3 linked regions of the Rattus norvegicus genome follow. The protein of the gene in region 1 binds, or shares a complex with, the protein of each later gene. Links are inferred from orthologs where the notes say so. Each region holds a gene or a part of one and is shown on either strand. Other genes may lie near its edges.

Region 1 (6,447 bases):
CCATTGTTCTTGTAGGTAATCACAAAGCTAGCCGGCATGGAGGAAGAGGAGCTGGCATTCTCCACCAAAGAGGAGCAGCAGCAGCTCCTGCAGAAGGTCCTGGCAGCCACTGACCTGGACGCAGAGGAGGAAGTGGTGGCTGGAGAGTTTGGCTCTAGATCTGGCCAGGTGGGTGAAGAGAGAGGTTCTCCTGTAGGACACCCACTGTATGTGAGCACATGTATACAGACATTCCATACGCATGTGTGTGCAAACACACACACACACACACACACACACACACACACACACACACACACACAAGCCTATCAGCATGCAAGCAAGTAGGATTAGAGGAAAACTGAAATTTTTTGAAGAAACAACACTGTTATCTTTGAGCGTGGGTTTCTTATAAATGTGTTGTAAGGCAGAGGGCTCACAGTGACAGTGACTGGGGTCATGCTTGTCCATAATGACAGCCTGCTAATGTTGGGGCCAAGGATGAGAGCCCTGTAGGCTCTGGTACTAGTAGGTGCTTTATCTGTTGGTCTGGGGTTAGCTGGCTCACCCTGCTTTCCTCCTCCGTAAGAGGGCTCAGCCGTCAAGATGAGTCTGTTGATGAACTCAAAAAGTTGAACTATGCTGCTTTCTAAAAAGACCCAGCATTTCACCTGTCTTTACTGAAGGCCTGTGTGCCCCAGGCATGACCATGTAGTGTGATCAGCGAAGGCATCATAAGGAGATTATGATTATCACCCTTCAAGGAGAGAAGTGAAATTGAGTCAGGGGTTCCGAGGATTCAGTTTCTGAAATTCAGTGGTGTGAAAGCTGAAAGGCGATCATTAGCTAGAACAAGACAGGAAGGAAGCAACATTTGCCACTTGGGCAGGTGCCAGTACCCTCCAGTCAAGGCCATTCTCTTGCTAGGTCATCTGCACGTTGGTCCAGGGGTGCCAAGGTGACCTTTACTGCTGTTGGATCAGTCCTCTGAGATCAGGCTATGACCTGGCATCCGTCAGGTGCCCATTTTCCCTGACATCTGTCTGGTTCAGGTGCAAACTGCTCTGGGCCAGACTCCTGGCTTCGGGGTACTGTTCATACCCATCTCCGGCTTTGTTTTGTTTTGCCTGAGATGGGTGCTACTGTGTAACTGGCAGGTCTGGAACTCAGGTCCTCCTGCCTCTGCATCCTGCCTTTTCCTGCCTCTCCTGCTTCTCCTGCTTCTCCTGCCTCTGCCTCTCCTGCCTTTCCTGCCTCTCCTGCCTCTCCTGCCTCTCCTGCTTCTCCTGCCTCTGCCTCTGCCTCTGCCTCTCCCTCTCCTGCCTCTCCTGCCTCTCCTGCCTTTCCTGCCTCTGCCTCTGCCTCTCCTGCCTCTCCTGCCTCTCCTGCCTCTAAGACTGGGATTAAAGGTGTTCACTTTGCTCCCAGCTCCATATCCACCTTTGGAGCAGACTTGACCATGCCCTGTTACATACACTCAAAACTTGCTCATGGCTTTGGATCTGAGTCAAGCCAGGGTTTTCTGGGTCTCCCATTGTTAAGTCTTAGGAGATTTAAAGAGACTCCCACCCCAACTTTTTTTTTTAATTATTTTTTTATATGTATGGGTGCTTGTGCCTCTACACCACATGTGTGCCTGGTACCCACACAGGCCGGAAGGATGCTTCAGATCCTTGGAACTGGAGTTGCAGATGGTTGTGAGTTGCTAGAATTCAAATCTCAGTCTTCTGGAAGGGTAGCCAGTGTTCTTAACTGCTGAGCCACCTCTTCAGCTCCAGTCTATCCTAATAACAATTAAAAAAATTATTTATTTATTTTATGTATATGAGTACACTGTAGCTGTCTTCAGACACACCAGAAGAGAGCATCGGATCCTATTACAGGTGGTTGTGAGCCACCATGTGGGTGCTGAGAATTGAACTCAGGACCTCTGGAAGAGCAGTCAGTGCTCTTAACCACTGAGCCATCTCTCCAGCCCCCCCCAATAACTCTTAAGAAAGATTTTGCGGGGTTGGGGATTTAGCTCAGTGGTAGAGCACTTGCCTAGAAAGCGCAAGGCCCTGGGTTCGGTCCCCAGCTCCGAAAAAAAGAACAACAACAACAACAACAACAAAAAAAAAAAAAAAAAAAAAAAGAAAGATTTTGTAGGGGCTGAGTCTGCCTTGCATGTGCAGTACCAAGCCCTGGCTTCTTACCTCAGAACTACAAAAGAGAGAATATGTTCTCTTAGGCAGTTGTCATCAAGGGAGACCTGTGCTGGCTGTTACAGCGGAGTGCCTGGGCCATGTTCTAGTCCTGTTTTCCTTGAGATCTCAAGCAGGCTCAAGCCATGTTCTTGTGCCTCAGTTTCCTGTTTTGTAGGTTAAGATTATAGTTGTTGTGAGGATCAGGGGAGGTAGTATATATGCAGTATATATGAAAGTGGCCAGAAAGATATTTTAAATTTAACTTGTATATGTGTGTGCATACATGTGTGCATACGTGTGTGTGTGTGTGTGTGTGTGTGTGTGTGTGTCAGAGGGCACGGCTGTGGAAGTCACGACAGCTTGGTGGAGTGCTTTCTCTCCTTACACCTTTTGTGGGTTCTGGGCTCAAGCTCCAGTTGCTGTGCTTGCATTGCAAGTACAACTCAGCTGTCCAAAAAGTCTTATGTTTTTTAAATTTATTTATTTGTATTTGACGTGCATTGGTGTTTTGTCTGCATTCATGTATGTGTGAGAGTGTTGGGTTCCCGGGAACTGGTGTTACAGACAGTTCTGAGCTGCCATGCTCTTAACAGCCAGGCCATCTCGCCAGCCTGAGAGTTGTTTAAAAACAGTTCATCGCATGGCTGGGCTAGCTTGGTGGTAGAGGGCTTGCCTAGCATGTGCAAGACCCTGGGTTCAGACCCTGCAGCACAAATTTTTTTTTTTTTTTGGTGGAAGTATCAGATTTTTATTACTATGGCTCGTAGTATAATTAAAATTAGGAGTAATGATATCTACTACTAACATTTATTTTTTTAAGATTTCATTAGCTTCCTATGGTCTTTTATGTTTCGTATATGAACTTTAAGAATTTTATTTTTTTTTATCTTTATTAACTTGAGTATTTCTTATTTACATTTCTATTGTTATTACCTTTCCCAGTTTCCAGGCCAACATCCTCCTAGCCCCTCCCCCCTCCCCTTCCTTATGGGTGTTCCCCTCCCAACCCTCCCCCCATTGCCGCCCTCCCCCCATCAGTCTAGTTCACTGGGGGTTCAGTCTTAGCAGGACCCAGGGCTTCCCCTTCCACTGGTGCTCTTACTAGGATATTCATTGCTACCTATGAGGTCAGAGTCCAGGGTCAGTCCATGTATAGTCTTTAGGTAGTGGCTTAGTCCCTGGAAGCTCTGGTTGCTTGGCATTGTTGTACATATGGGGTCTCGAGCCCCTTCAAGCTCTTCCAGTTCTTTCTCTGATTCCTTCAACGGGGGTCCTGTTCTCAGGTCAGTGGTTTGCTGCTGGCATTCGCCTCTGTATTTGCTGTATTCTGGCTGTGTCTCTCAGGAGCGATCTACATCCGGCTCCTGTCGGTCTGCACGTCTTTGCTTCATCCATCTTGTCTAATTGGATGGCTGTATATGTATGGGCCACATGTGGGGCAGGCTCTGAATGGGTGTTCCTTCTGTGTCTGTTTTAATCTTTGCCTCTCTATTCCCTGCCAAGGGTATTCTTGTCCCCCCCCCCTTTTTTTTTCCTTCTTTTTTTCGGAGCTGGGGACCGAACCCAGGGCCTTGTGCTTGCTAGGCAAGTGCTCTACCACTGAGCTAAATCCCCAACCCCTCTTGTTCCCCTTTTAAAGAAGGAGTGAAGCATTCACATTTTGATCATCGTCTTGAGTTTCATTTGTTCTAGGCATCTAGGGCAATTCAAGCATTTGGGCTAATAGCCACTTATCAATGAGTGCATCATACCATGTGTGTTTTTCTGTGATTGGGTTACCTCACTCAGGATAATATTTTCCAGTTCCCTCCATTTGCCTATGAATTTCATAAAGGCATTGTTTTTGATAGCTGAGTAATATTCCATTGTGTACATGTACCACATTTTCTGTATCCATTCCTCTGTTGAAGGGCATCTGGGTTCTTTCCAGCTTCTGGCTATTATAAATAAGGCTGCGATGAACATAGTGGAGCACGTGTCTTTTTTATATGTTGGGGCATCTTTTGGGTATAGCAGCACACATTTGTAAACACACACGCGCGCACACACACACACACATTCTGAATTTGAGTATGAGTGTTGTAAGAGGTTCCTTTGGAGATTAACCTTAGCCTGGCTTCTGCCTTTCCCCCACAGGCATCCCGGCGCTTTGGCACCATGAGCTCTCTGTCCGGGGCAGACGATACTGTGTATATGGAGTACCACTCCTCCCGAAACAAAGCCTCCACCAAGCACGTGCACCCACTTTTCAAACGCTTCAGGAAGTGACATCCACCCTGTACTCAGTTGAAGATTGACTGCCTGGATCAGAGTTGAAAACAGAGACTTCTCAGTGTGATCGTTTCTCTCCAAGACTGTAATGTCCTCTTGGTCTAATGTGTTGACTGACTGTGCTGAGAGCCAGTGGGTTCCAGACTTAAAGGAAAGAAAGGCTGCTGTTGTGTTTTATACTTGTTGAGAGTGGATCATTTCTGTATATAAAAATTATACCACTTAAGGCACATTTGTCTTTATTTTATTGAATGAACTGAAAAATGGAGTTTGGGCAGCTCTGGAGCTTCAAACGAGAAGTAGGTACCTGCTTCCCTCCTTCCCCAAGACAGTGTCCACTTGATGAGCAGCTTCCCCTGTCCCTGGACACAGTGTCCACTTGATGAGCACTTGCAAATGAAGTTTAGTTTTCTCCAAGGAGAGGCTCACTGGGGAAACAACTACTCTTAGGTAGGCTTCATGGCCACAGGACACCCACAGGACACAAACCCAGTGCTCTGTTTGAAGGTTCCTTGTCTTATAATGTCCTGTCAGAGCTCCCCCTCTTTCTAAAAGTCTGTCTTAGTATCTACTTCTTATTTTATATTTTTCTCACTTTTACCCTACAGGTCCTCTGTGTGTATATCGTGGCTTCTGGTTTACTGTTTTTTATGAGATCCCTGGGGGTGACCAAGCTGGTCTTGTGTCTTCTCTTCAGCTCTCTTCCTGGTATTTGTTTTGTCTTATATTGTATTATTTAGAAATGGAATTTGGGCTGTGTATTACTAAGTTAGCTTACTTTGAAATGTTACTAACCTGGGAGGTTTCAGTATTTTACCTGTGAGGCTGAGAACTGGTTGGTCACTCTGTCTGTGAGGCTGGCTGCTTTAGCAGTCTCAGTCTGGATCCAAGTATGGAAAGGTCCTGGAGACAGCTGCTCCTTAGGGATGGAAGCCTGGAAAAGAATCGCATCTGAGAGCAGCAAAGAGATCACGGCAACGGGATAAAGAAGGCTGACGTCAGGAGGGACGGCCACGCCAGCAAAAGGTGGGTGATCCTCTCTACGCCAGCCACCCCCTCTTTGAGATCTAGGCCCATGGCAGATGCCACATGTGGAGTGGCTGTCGAGGCGGTCGTGTGCAATTCTCTGCACAGGTCATTGTATTCTGAGGCAAGCAGATGATAAAACCGGCTATGCGTGCTTGGTATCGATCATGGATCTAAAGTCATCTGGGAGACACACCCGCAGGCAGACCGGTCTATGAAGGCGTTTCTAGACGAGGAGAACTGAGGTGGGAAGGCCCAGCCAACACGTGGCACGATCGTCTGGGCTAGAACACGAAGGAAGAAAGCTGAGGACCAGCATTCCTGGACCCTGACTGACTGTACTGTGAACAGCCTCCCCGGGTCCTGCCGCTATTACTGATGCACTCTGAAGCTGGAGCCAAAGTAAAGCCCTTATTTTATTATTTTGTCACAGCAATGAGAAAAACCACTAACACAGTCCCTGACACCTGAGGCCTGTGTCGTTACACCAGGGGCTGCTACTTACTGGGGTACCTGCCGTGCGCTGCTCCAGTTCAGTGGCCAAATGCCGAGGGTCCCAAAAGCTGCCAGGCGCCAGGCAGGTCGGAGTTCCCACCTCTGTGTCATTTCTATTCCGAGGTGTATAAATGTGATGTCACACGTCTTTCCTGTCACTCCACTTTTATTTATTTATTTTTTGAGACAGGATCTCTCACTGAACTTGAAACACAGTGCTCAGTAAGCTGGAAAACCCCAGGGATTCACCTGGCTCCGCCCTGCACCCAGCCTTGGGGTTATGAGTGTGCATGGCCATGCCCAGCTTCATATGTAAGTTCTGAGGTTCAAGTCCGTCCTCCTCCTGCATGGCGGGTGCTGTCTACTGAGCCAGCTCCTTAGGCCCCTTTCTCTTGCCCCTGCAGTCAGGTTCTCTAAGAAGCATTGTGTAACTTGAGCCCACCGTCTTCAGGTTTAGTTTTCTAGTCTTATTACATTTGCTTTTTCCATC
Region 2 (6,547 bases), on another chromosome or scaffold:
CCGGCTGCTCTAGTAGTCAATCACTCTTAGCCTCAAACTAGTTATGTAGCCAGAGACAACCCTTGAATACCTTCTGAATCCTCCTGCCTCCACCTCCCAAGCACTGGGATTAGACAGGCTCCACTACACCCAACTCCCAGAACTCTGTGGTCTAAGGAATATGTGTACCTACATAACTGAGGAAACACTTTTTATAGTCTATGTGTGGGTCTGTGTGGACTGTGTACACACCCAGAAGGCAGTGTCAGTTCCCTGACTGGAGTTCCAGTCTGTTGGGATATACACAACGGGTGCTTGAAAACAGAGCCAGACGCCCTTGGAAGTACAGCAAGTGCTCTCAAGTGTTGAGCCGCTCCTCTGCCCGCTGCCCAAGTCTATTTCCTTTTGGCTTTTTACAATTCTACAGACAGGAAGTACAGTGGCACTCTGGAGAGTTTAGAGTTGTTGACAAAGTACAGTCGTTCCCAAGGGACATATCTCTTCAGACCTTTAGAAAAGGGTTCTAAAAAGCTGCATTCAGAATTTTCAATGTTCTATTTTAGTTAATTGTCTCTGTGGGTGCACCACAAGCACATGCCCGAGTCTCCGTGTGCCCGTGGAGGTCAGAGGACAGACCCATTGAACACAAATCACCTGGCTCGATGGCTTTTTAACAAGACACTGGATTGAAGTGGTTTGGAGAAACACTTTTAATCTTCACTGTATGAGGAATTACAAGGACAATAAATTAAGTCATATGTTGACCCGAAATTTCCTTTATACAGAGTATTAAAATACAATTGGCATTTCTAAAATGAAATCATAGGTACACAGTTGTAGTCATTAAGTAAGCTAAGTTAAATGCTATACATTAAAGAGAAACATCAACGAGGCAAATGTATGAAGACATTCCTCAACTCCACTGTTTCATCGAGCATCAAAAACCACCACTGTTGAATTGAGTTAAGGATTTTAAACAGTACTTAAAATTGTGTAAGACTAAGGCTTCCAAGTTACCCCCTGCACCAAGCTTGCAATTGAATATAAAATGAACAAAAGAATGAAGTTCACTATAATCAGAGATTATCTAAAAAAATAAAGTACACTACTGCCATGTTCAGTAGCTTACTTTTTTGGATACAAGATAATATAAATTAATAATGTAACATATATTAATATAAGTAGTATTAAAAATAAACACAAATTAAAAAAACTCACTGAAACAATTGATGACTTTTAAGAGTTTGTGTCCGTTACCATGAAACAATTTGTAGGCCTCACTATTTTCCACTGTTATTAATCTCTTCTTCCGTACTTTATATTGTTCATAAACTAATAACCAACAATGACTATTACTAAAAACAAAGATTTCCTGAAAAGTAAAAAAGACTTATCAACTAGTTTTTATATTACTGAAAGCCCATAATGAATGGTACATGAAAATGCTAATCACATTTACTTTATATAAAAACCTCTGCCAGGCCTTGGGAGTACATGTCTTTAATCCCGGATTTGGGGGGTAGAGGTGGTGGGCGGGGATAGGTGGATCTCTGAGTTTGAGGCCTGTCTTAGTCAGGGTTTCTGTTCCTGCACAAACATCATGACACAAAGCAGGTTGGGGAGGAAAGAGTTTATCCAGCTTACACAGTCACATTGCTGTTTCATCACCAAAGGAAGTCAGGACTGGAACTCGAGCAGGTCAGGAAGCAGGAGCTGATGCAGAGGCCATGGAGGGATGTTACTTACTGGCTTGCCTCCCGTGGCTTGCTCAGCTGGTTTTCTTATAGAACCCCAGGACCACCAGCCCAGGGATGGCACTACCCACAATGGGCTTGGTCCTCCCTCCTTGATCACTAGTTGAGAAGATGCCTTACAGCTGGGTCTCCCGAAGGCATTTCCACAACTGAGGCTCCTTTTCTGTGATAACTCCAGCCTGTGTCAAGTTGGCCTTCAAAACTAGCCAGTATAAGGCCACAGAGGTTTAGGAAGGCCAGTGATAACCTTAATAAATGAATTAAAAATGTATTTACTGGGTTTTAAAATTTGTTTTATTCAGGTTTATTTTATGCACAAGTGCTTTTGCCTGTATGCATGTATGTACCATTTGGGTCCCGCGCACTGGTAGGTCAGAGGTCGGCCTATCCGACCACCTGTGATTGTGAGCAATCATGTTGGTTCTAAGGCCCTCTGAAAAAGCAGCAATGCTCCTGCCTGCAGATCCAGCTCTCAGGCCCCTAGTTGGTCCTTTGAGACTGGGTCTCACTAAGTAGCTTTAGCTGGCCTGGAATCCTAAGTGTAGACCAGACTGGCCTGGAATTCACAAGGAGCTGCCTGTCTCTACCCCACAAGTTTTGGGAAAAATAAATCCTATTAAAATAATTAATCTGGGTATACCTCCTGTGGAGGCTCCACTCTTTCAGTTCTCAATAAGTCCACATGCACTCTGCTTAAAAAATAATCCAAAAGTTATTACTACTTTGATCAGATCTTAGTCTTTTTTTTTTTAAAGATTTATTTATTTCATGTATGTGAGTACACTGTCACTGTCTTCAGACACACCAGAAGGAATCAAATCCCATTACTAGGTGGTTGAGCCACCATGTGGTTGCTGGGACTTGAACTCAGGACCTCTGTAAGAGTGGTCAGTGCTCTTAACCACTGAGCCATCTCTCCAGCCCCAGATCTTAGTCTTTATCAACCCAAGTATTAGTTACTTCCTCTTCACATTTAAAAAGTATACTTAAAAGGATACATCTCTTAGTCCTTTTCTTGTACATTATTCTGTATCCACATTCTCTGCATCTGATTGGATCCCTGGATTTTATTTCATTTTCGGTGTGACACTCTGGGAAAGAAAGCACATTTATTCAAAGCCTGAAAGAGAAACACTCCAGGGAAGCAAACAGTAACAACATATTAAAAACAGGAGGAAACCAGGGCACCAAAACATCCAAGTACATTCTTATTACTGAACAGACCAAGGAGAAAGAAGAGCTGTAGGCAGTACACCTTTTCCAGATAAAAGGAAGAAATCTTAATAAGGTAGAGGGATTTTAAAATTAACAATCGCTAAAGTGCTCCACGTTATAATTTTAAAGATTTGTACTCATGTATGGAAGGATTCTTTTTAATGGGAGGGGGGGGCGTTCCTAAGTAAAGCATTATTTAAATGTTAATCTTACCTCCACAAATATATATCATTGGCTGCTGCTTTGGTGGTTGAACATCTTTCTGGGTGTCCATTGTTCGTGCCTGAAATGAGAGCCAAAGACTGAGTAACAGGGCCTTCGCACAAAACATGCCCCATTTGATTTATCTTTTTCTCAGAAGCTATACGAGGTTCTGATTTTCCGACCAAAGAGGAAAACCTCAGTAGAATGTTTGCCTAGTGTGCAGAAGCCCAAGAATCAATACCCAATATTACGGATGGGGAAATTAAAAAAAAAAAAAAAGTAATTATCTACTTCCCCTAAACAGTGATGTGGGCTGGGTCTGAAGGATACAGCACATTTTCAACAATAGTAAATACATTATGAATGTTTATTACTCTTCAGGATCCTAGAGGGTATTACACACGAAGAAACGGAGGCTAAGGACATGTTGGTTTGTCCAGTATCACTCCGCAAAGGAATTCCGATTTGAGCTGGGAGCAGTAGCTCCGTCAAAGCTTGTCTCAACATTAACTCCACCGGGGATCTTTATTTTCGCATTTGGTTCTTTAAGAAGGCTTTGAGAGTCTTCACTTTGTAATTCAGGTTAGCCGAGAACTCACTTTGTAGCCTTAGATTGAAAGTCAAGGTGCTTGTTGATGGCAGAATTCTCCTACCTCTGCTTCCCAAGCGCTCAGATGGCAGGCGTGTGCTACCGCTCTCGGTCGTCCAGGGATATTTTAAAGCCAGGTGTCTCTCCTAGTTTTGCCTCCAATTTACCTCCCAAATCACCCGCCGATCCCTTACCTCCGCAGCTCCGGAAAGCGTCCCTCCTCTGTGCACGCAAACGCTTTCTCCGGCTCTTAGAAGCAAGAGACACTACCGGCGCTGCTTCGCCAACTTCCGGCGCTGACTTATGACGCAAAAGCCCTGTCCCTTTCTGCCTGGCAGTACCGAAGAACTAGGGCGCTTGTTGGGGACTGGTTTATAGTGTTTCTCTCCTTAATTCCTGTAGGATTTTGTTTTGATTTGCCCCTCTCTCCAGGGTAGCAAAACATTCCCACAGCTCGGCGTTCGAGAGTCTGTGCTTGTGTAACGGCAGATAGAGCAGGAAGCCAAAACAGGTGCTGCTGGAATCTTAACCCAGCCATTGCTTGGGCGAACACCAGCAGGCCACCCTACCAACACTTCACTTCCCAATATCACGGTTTTCAAATTGTTCAATACCCATGCAGGTTTTTGTTTGTTTGTTGTTTTCAAATTCCAGTTTTCTTAGTTTCTTGTCACCTCTCTTCTATTTTATGTTGGGGAATGGAATGATAGGGGAAGCCCGAGGCTTGATAGTCTATGTAGCCCAGGCTGAGCTTGCTCTTAAACCGGCGCAGTTCTCTACCTTCGCCGCCTCAATGCTGAAATTAATTGCGCAAATCACAACGCCTGCCCATCTTCCTTTTTGAAGCCAAGGTTTTCACAACTAAGGTTTTCACAAGGACAACTCCATCAATTACTTCCACTAGTTGGTGGCTTTAGCTTTTCTCGTAGTATTCTCCCTCTTGTGTTTGATCAATTCAATAGAGTACAGGTGGTATGTGTTCTCACAGATCAAACTTTTAACTCAGTAAAAATCTGTTGGGTTCAGGACGTTTACACTCAATTATTTCACACCATTTATTTTAAAAATAGAGTGGACAAACTAATAGAAGAAAAACTAGGGAAGCATCTGGAACACATGGGCACTGGAAAAAATTTCCTGAACAAAACACCAATGGCTTATGCTCTAAGATCAAGAATCGACAAATGGGATCTCATAAAACTGCAAAGCTTCTGTAAGGCAAAGGACACTGTGGTTAGGACAAAACGGCAACCAACAGATTGGGAAAAGATCTTTACCAATCCTACAACAGATAGAGGCCTTATATCCAAAATATACAAAGAACTCAAGAAGTTAGACTGCAGGGAAACAAATAACCCTATTTAAAAATGGGGTTCAGAGCTAAACAAAGAATTCACAGCTGAGGAATGCCGAATGGTTGAGAAACACCTAAAGAAATGTTCAACATCTTTAGTCATAAGGGAAATGCAAATCAAAACAACCCTGAGATTTCACCTCACACCAGTGAGAATGGCTAAGATCAAAAACTCAGGTGACAGCAGATGCTGGCGAGGATGTGGAGAAAGAGGAACACTCCTCCATTGTTGGTGGGATTGCAGACTGGTAAAACCATTCTGGAAATCAGTCTGGAGGTTCCTCAGAAAATTGGACATTGAACTGCCTGAGGATCCAGCTATACCTCTCTTGGGCATATACCCAAAAGATGCCTCAACATATAAAAGAGACACGTGCTCCACTATGTTCATCGCAGCCTTATTTATAATAGCCAGAAAATGGAAAGAATCCAGATGCCCTTCAACAGAGGAATGGATACAGAAAATGTGGTACATCTACACAATGGAATATTACTCAGCTATCAAAAACAACGAGTTTATGAAATTCGTAGGCAAATGGTTGGAACTGGAAAATATCATCCTGAGTGAGCTAACCCAATCACAGAAAGACATACATGGTATGCACTCATTGATAAGTGGCTATTAGCCCAAATGCTTGAATTACCCTAGATCCCTAGAACAAACGAAACTCAAGACGGATGATCAAAATGTGAATGCTTCACTCCTTCTTTAAATGAGGAAAAAGAATACCCTTGGCAGGGAAGGGAGAGGCAAAGATTAAAACAGAGACTGAAGGAACACCCATTCAGAGCCTGCCCCACATGTGGCCCATACATATACAGCCACCCAATTAGACAAGATGGATGAAGCAAAGAAGTGCAGACCGACAGGAGCCGGATGTAGATCGCTCCTGAGAGACACAGCCAGAATACAGCAAATACAGAGGCGAATGCCAGCAGCAAACCACTGAACTGAGAATAGGTCCCCTATTGAAGGAATCAGAGAAAGAACTGGAAGAGCTTGAAGGGGCTCGAGACCCCAAAAGTACAACAATGCCAAGCAACCAGAGCTTCCAGGGACTAAGCCACTACCTAGAGACTATACATGGACTGACCCTGGACTCTGACCCCATAGGTAGCAATGAATATCCTAGTAAGAGCACCAGTGGAAGGGGAAGCCCTGGGTCCTGCTAAGACTGAACCCCCAGTGAACTAGTCTATGGGGGGAGGGCGGCAATGGGGGGAGGGTTGGGAGGGGAACACCCATAAGGAAGGGGAGGGGGGAGGGGGATGTTTGCCCGGAAACCGGGAAAGGGAATAACACTCGAAATGTATATAAGAAATACTCAAGTTAATAAAAAAAAATGTTAAAAAAAATAAAAATAGAGTGGAAAACGTGAAGGGATTCAGGAATTCAAGTGAAAACCGTTAATTAAAGTGATGGCTTCTCTCCCAGTGTGCATCCTGGTATCT
Region 3 (5,597 bases), on another chromosome or scaffold:
AGTCTTCAGTGTTGATTTGAACTTTTTTGTTATCTATTCTAAAATCTTACCTTTGAGTCAGACCTTTCTGGCTTGATTGATTCAACACACACACACACACACACACACACACACACACACACACACACACACACACACCCACACACACAGAGAGAGAGAGAGACAGAGAGACAGAGAGACAGAGACAGAGAGACAGAGAGACAGAGAGAGACAGAGATATCTATCCCACCGTGTCCAAGTAGAATGTGAGCCATCTTGCTTTACTGGCAGGACTCTGAAGTCCTTTTCCTACAGATCTTCCAGCGTCTCCCCCGCTCCTGAGCTCAGTTTCTCCCATATTCTTCCAGCATAAATTAAAGCTGGGGTGAGGCTGCGCTGTAATGCTTAGACTCTTGGTTGGATCCTGGTCTCCGCACTTTCTTTTTCCCCAGTGTGTTCTTTCTCTTAGTTTGTCTTTCGAACCAGAGAAAGCGCGTATCTTTCTAAGTCCTTCAGAGCTGCACATAGGTGTTTTTCTCTATGCTCTTCTTTTTTTTTTTTTCTTTTTTTTTTTCTTTTTTTTTTTTCTTTTTCCTTTTCTCTTTTTGCTACCGAGCCAAGCATTCTACCTCTATTCCCAGCCCTTTTGTTATTTTCTAATTTGAGATAGTCTTGCCAAGTTGCCCAGGCTGGCCTTAAATTCACTCTGTAGCCCACACAGCCCTGAACTTTTGATCTTGTCTTGGCCCTAAAGTACCTGGGATTATAGGCCTTGCCTCACTGAGAAAAATCTTGAGGCCGGCTGCAGTTTTCCTCCACAAAGGTTTCATCGCTGGCATGCAGCTGGAGGTTCTTGTCTCCATTGTGAGCTTGTCCTAGGACGTTCAGAGAACATAAGCCTCTTCCTCAGTCTGGGGTTCACAGCGTAGTTCATTGTTAGCTCTGAAGTTCGAGTGCAGTTCTAGAGCCGTTCTCACACTACAGCCATCCCCATGTGCAGGCCTTGCTCTCTGCTGGCCTCTCCCAGGCCACCAAGGCTTTCATTTCCCAGGGAGCTTTGAGACTGACCCTCCTCCAGCAAATCACTCTTTCAATCAAAAGTTAATAGTAATAAACTTAACCAACTGAAGTACATAAATAGAAGCTGTGTATTTTCTCCCTTTTTTATGTGTGTGTACACACACGTGCAAGCACATATTTGTGGAGGCCACCGAACCATAAACTGCCTTTTTTACCTTTTCTTTTTCTTCCTTTGAGACAAGGTTTCTCACTGGCATGGAGCGCTTCAGAAGCTCAGGTATCTGCCCTCCCAACCCTGGGATTACGAGTACTCCCTACGCTGTATGTCTTTTTACCTGCTTCTGGGGGTGGAACTCAGGCTCTCCTGCATTTGCCAACTGAACTATCTTCCCGGTTTTCAGTGCAAAGATCATTTTCTACAAGTGATTAATACCAGGAGGATAACAATGGCATCAAACTACTTTTCAAATTTTATTGACATTTGTTAATTGTACAAAACACTAGGTTTCGTGACAACGTTTCATATATGTCTGGTACATGTTGATCATCTCAAGCCCCTTTTAACATACCCTGCTCCCTCTCCTCCTCCCCTTCATCTACCTTCAGCGCTCCTACTTCCGTGTATTATCTCTAGCTTCCTTTTTTCTGTTGATTGTTGTTGTTATTGTTATTATTACTACTACTACATGTTGTCTTAGGGCTACTGTTGCTGTGATGAAACACCATGATCAAAGCAACTTGGGGAGGAAAGGGTTTATTTGGTTTGTACTTCTGTATTACTGTCATTATTGAAGGAAGTCAGGACAGGAACTCAAACAGGGCAGGATCCTAGAGGCAGGAGCTGATGGAGAAGTCATGGAACCCAGGACCACCAGCCCAGGGATGGCCCCATCCTTCTCAACTTAAGTTCAGATAACTTGGGTTTAAGGTCAGGTTGGCACCAAACGAATGTGTGTGTGTGTGTGTGTGTGTGTGTGTGTGTGTACATACATCCCAGCTACTGGGTTCGTCTAGTGTTGCTCTTATATAGAACACTGACCACTTGTATTGGATAACCAACCGGTTAGGGGCTCATCCCTGAGGAGGATGTGACTCTGTGTCTCCACGGTCCTCAGTTGCTGTGACCCTTCATGTAGAGGCAGGACTTGGAGATTCCCCATTCGAGCTGCATGTAGGCTGTCATTCAGGTTTTGGTTAGGCAACTCTATATAGTGCTGCAGTTAATGAGTGCAGCTTCTCTGTCACATACAGAAGATACTGTCTCACGTCAGATGTCCTGATCCTGTGGCTTTTCATGGTCTTTCCACTCCCTCCTCTGCCATGTTCCTGGGTTGTGTTGTGAATATATCTGTTGGTGATAGGCATCCCAAGGCCAGTTGTTCTCCAGTTTTGGCCATTTGTAGCTTTTTGTAATGTTCTCCATCTGCCTCAAAAAGAAGCTTCGCTTGTGAGAGCTGAGAGTTGCTTCCCATTCTGATGTGTGTGAAGATGATGTCTTGATTTTATTTGAATAAGAAGTACTTTTATGGTAAAAATTAGAGAATATTATACATGGAAACTTCGAGGACACCTGATGTGAGATAAAATGAAAATGTAGAAAAAATAATTTACTGGCATCAGCGCTGAGTGTATCTACCTTTCTTGTTGCGGAACCTACTTCTATGTACAGTGGTAAAGCATGGGCTGAGAGAGGAGGAGGCTGACTTTGCTCCTCTGCTCTTCACTAGTGCTCCCCAGACTTCCCAGTTGAACCTGCGCTGGAACAAGCTTGTGCCCTAAACTCCTAGAGCATGCAGTTTAATTCATAAACATATCTCACTGTACCTTGATTAATCAAAAACTAAGGAACTGCATGTTAGCTTCTGGGCTAACCAGGAAGAAACCCTCCTTGGGGAGAAATGAATGTGTTACATAAAGCTTCACAAGAGACTGAAAGTGGTTTACAGACCTCTGTTACAACTGTCCTGAACCTGAAAGGTAATGGGAGTCCCTGCCAGAGGCCTGATGGTGTGAGACTTTAAGTGAGGTTTCAGGTGACTCAGACTATTTCCAAATGATTTCTTTCCAGATGCTGAGTTGATACCTTTCTTTTGTTTTTGCCTACAGATTGAATATGAAAGGAAGAAGAAAGAAGATGGAAAGCGAGCTCGGGCAGACAAACAACACGTCCTAGACATGCTGTTCTCAGCCTTTGAGAAACATCAGTACTATAATCTTAAGGACTTGGTGGACATCACAAAGCAACCTGTGGTATGTATACATTTCTAGTGATCTTTAAGTATACCAGACTTTATTAGCATATCACTAGTGAGGAGAAACGTGATCAGGTTCACATTCACTCTGCTAATGACAGAGTTTATGTCAACAATCAGAAAACAGATTTTTTTTTTCCCCCAGAGCTGGGGACCGAACCCAGGGCCTTGTGCTTGCTAGGCAAGCGCTCTACCACTGAGCTAAATCCCCAAGCCCCAGAAAACAGATCTTAACATAGCTTTATCTTTCGAACATCCACTTCATTACTTTAGATTTAAAATACATGTAAGAGCTATTAAAATGGCTCAATTTGTAAAGGCACTCGGTTCAAATGCTGATGATGCCCAGAGCTTTCTGTGGAAGCAGTAAACCCACTCCTGGAAATTGTCTTCTGACTGCTACACACACAGCCAGGCACTTATGTGTGCGAGCATGTTTGCACACATGATAATGTTAGAGCCTGGAGAGGTGGTTCAGTGGTTAAGAGACTAGTTGCGGGGCTGGGGAGTTAGCTCAGTGGTAGAGCGCTTGCCTAGGAAGCACAAGGCCCTGGGTTCGGTCCCCAGCTCCGAAAAAAAGACCAAAAAAAAAAAAAAAAGAGAGAGACTAGTTGCTCTTCTAGAGGACTCAGATTTGACTCCTTGCACTCACTATCTTAACATCAATCTGAGATCTGTTAAGCAATTTGCAGTCTTTTTAATTTTTGCTAAAATGCCCATGATTCAGTATTCGCGATTCAGCTAATGACTTAATTCCCTTTGGCAGTACAGCCTGAGAAACAGCATCCATGCTAGATTAAAATATTTTTAAAGAATACTTTGTTAACAAGCTGTATTTCTTCTGGTTATAATGAAGTCTACCTTTTGTTATTTTGTATGTAAATATGCCTACAGGAAAGACTTTCCCAGACAATGAGCGCAGATGATGTATTCCTACAGAATGAAATGTACACACAGTTAGACAGGGAAGTAGGCAGAGTAGAGAGGGGGGCATTCTAGTAATGGTAGGGAAGCAAGTTCCTCAGTCCTTGTTCTTAACACAGGGTATTGGGCTTATTTGCTTCACATTGAAGGAAGGGGTTTATTAAAATGTCTATCTGGAGTAGATAGGTACTCAGGGGCTCCAATAAAAAGATCCCAAAATCAAGGCCAGGGTGGAGTATATAATACATATGTGGTCTGTCCCCAAAAACTGATTCAGTTCAGACTGTTGTTGCTGCTACTTCACTTCACTCTTTGTGTGGGGATGTTTTGCCTGCATGTGTGTCTGTGCCTGGGGAGGCCAGAAAAGAATATTGGATGCTGGGAATTGAACCCAGGTCCTATGAAAGAGAAGCCAGTGCTCTTAAACACTGAGCTAACTCTCCAGCCCTGGTCAGATAATTATTATGTTGTGGTACTTAGTGAGGTTTTTGTACTAGATCTTCTTCACTAATGATCTAGAGTGGACCTCAGGCGATCTAACTTAATGAGTGTGTGCAGACATAGATTTTCCAGAGAACAGATGGTAGCTTGTATCAAATTCTTGTCTGATGTGGAAAGGAAGTCTGCTGTATGAGAGAGTCATTTAGAGGCCACACTACCTCAGCAGCCAGATCCTTTTTGGAGAGGAGGTCTTGTCATGTACCTACTGACACTTGCCCTTTTGCCCAGACTAGCCTCAAGTTCCTGTGTCTCCTCCCTTGGCCTTCTGAGGGCAGGTTTGTGCCAGCTCTGCTTCTTCACCCACAGCAAATCCTTGACAGTATTGCCACGCCATTACTCTGCACACTACCCTTTCCAGTGCCACTGTTCTCACACTCACACACCTCCCCTTACCCTCTCTCCTCTCCTACCTCTCTCCCGCCCCTCTCCATCTCTTACACATCCCATCCCGTGCTGCTCTGAATTGGAATGGCCCCCATAGACTCAGGTACATAAGTGCTTGGTCCATAGGAGGTGGCACTATTAGGTGTCCTTTTTGAAGGAAGGGTGTCACTGTGGGGCAGGCTTTGAGGTCTCAGATGCTCAAGCCAGGCTTGGTGTAGCACACAGTCTCCTGCTGCTGCCTGCAGATCAAGATGTACAACTATTAACTCCTTTTTCAGCACCATGTCTGCCTCATTCTGCCATGCTTCCTGCTGTGACATTAATGGACTAAACTTCTGAACTGGTAGCCAGCCCCAATTAAATATTGTCTTTTATAAGAGTTGTCTTGGTCATGGTGTCTCCTCAGAGCAAAAAAAAAAAAAAAAAAAAAAAAAAAAAAAAAAAAAAAAAAACTAAAACACACCCCCCCACCCCACTTTCTTGCCATCTTGCTGCCTCACTTATATACATACCTAACTTGCCATCAGACTCCAAGTC

The links.
Region 2: Ercc3 (region 1) and Polr2k share a complex: the UniProt entries of both Homo sapiens proteins name them as parts of the TBP-based Pol II pre-initiation complex. The link is inferred for Rattus norvegicus from reciprocal best matches to the Homo sapiens genes ERCC3 and POLR2K.
Region 3: Ercc3 (region 1) and Gtf2f2 share a complex: the UniProt entries of both Homo sapiens proteins name them as parts of the TBP-based Pol II pre-initiation complex. The link is inferred for Rattus norvegicus from reciprocal best matches to the Homo sapiens genes ERCC3 and GTF2F2.

What each region holds. Positions count from the first base shown.
Region 1 is NC_086036.1:24,183,882-24,190,328, forward strand, and holds the end of Ercc3 (general transcription and DNA repair factor IIH helicase subunit XPB), read left to right. Parts: intron 1-15; coding exon 16-168; intron 169-4,301; coding exon 4,302-4,433; 3' UTR 4,434-4,662; downstream 4,663-6,447. UniProt on the Homo sapiens protein: ATP-dependent 3'-5' DNA helicase/translocase. Binds dsDNA rather than ssDNA, unzipping it in a translocase rather than classical helicase activity. Component of the general transcription and DNA repair factor IIH (TFIIH) core complex.
Region 2 is NC_086025.1:69,238,704-69,245,250, reverse strand, and holds Polr2k (DNA-directed RNA polymerases I, II, and III subunit RPABC4), read right to left. Parts: upstream 4,019-6,547; 5' UTR 3,936-4,018; intron 3,232-3,935; 5' UTR 3,223-3,231; coding exon 3,162-3,222; intron 2,825-3,161; coding exon 2,732-2,824; intron 930-2,731; coding exon 907-929; 3' UTR 672-906; downstream 1-671. UniProt on the Homo sapiens protein: DNA-dependent RNA polymerase catalyzes the transcription of DNA into RNA using the four ribonucleoside triphosphates as substrates.
Region 3 is NC_086033.1:57,627,362-57,632,958, reverse strand, and holds part of Gtf2f2 (general transcription factor IIF subunit 2), read left to right. Parts: exon of another isoform or gene 1-3,105; coding exon 3,106-3,249; exon of another isoform or gene 3,250-5,597. UniProt on the Homo sapiens protein: TFIIF is a general transcription initiation factor that binds to RNA polymerase II and helps to recruit it to the initiation complex in collaboration with TFIIB.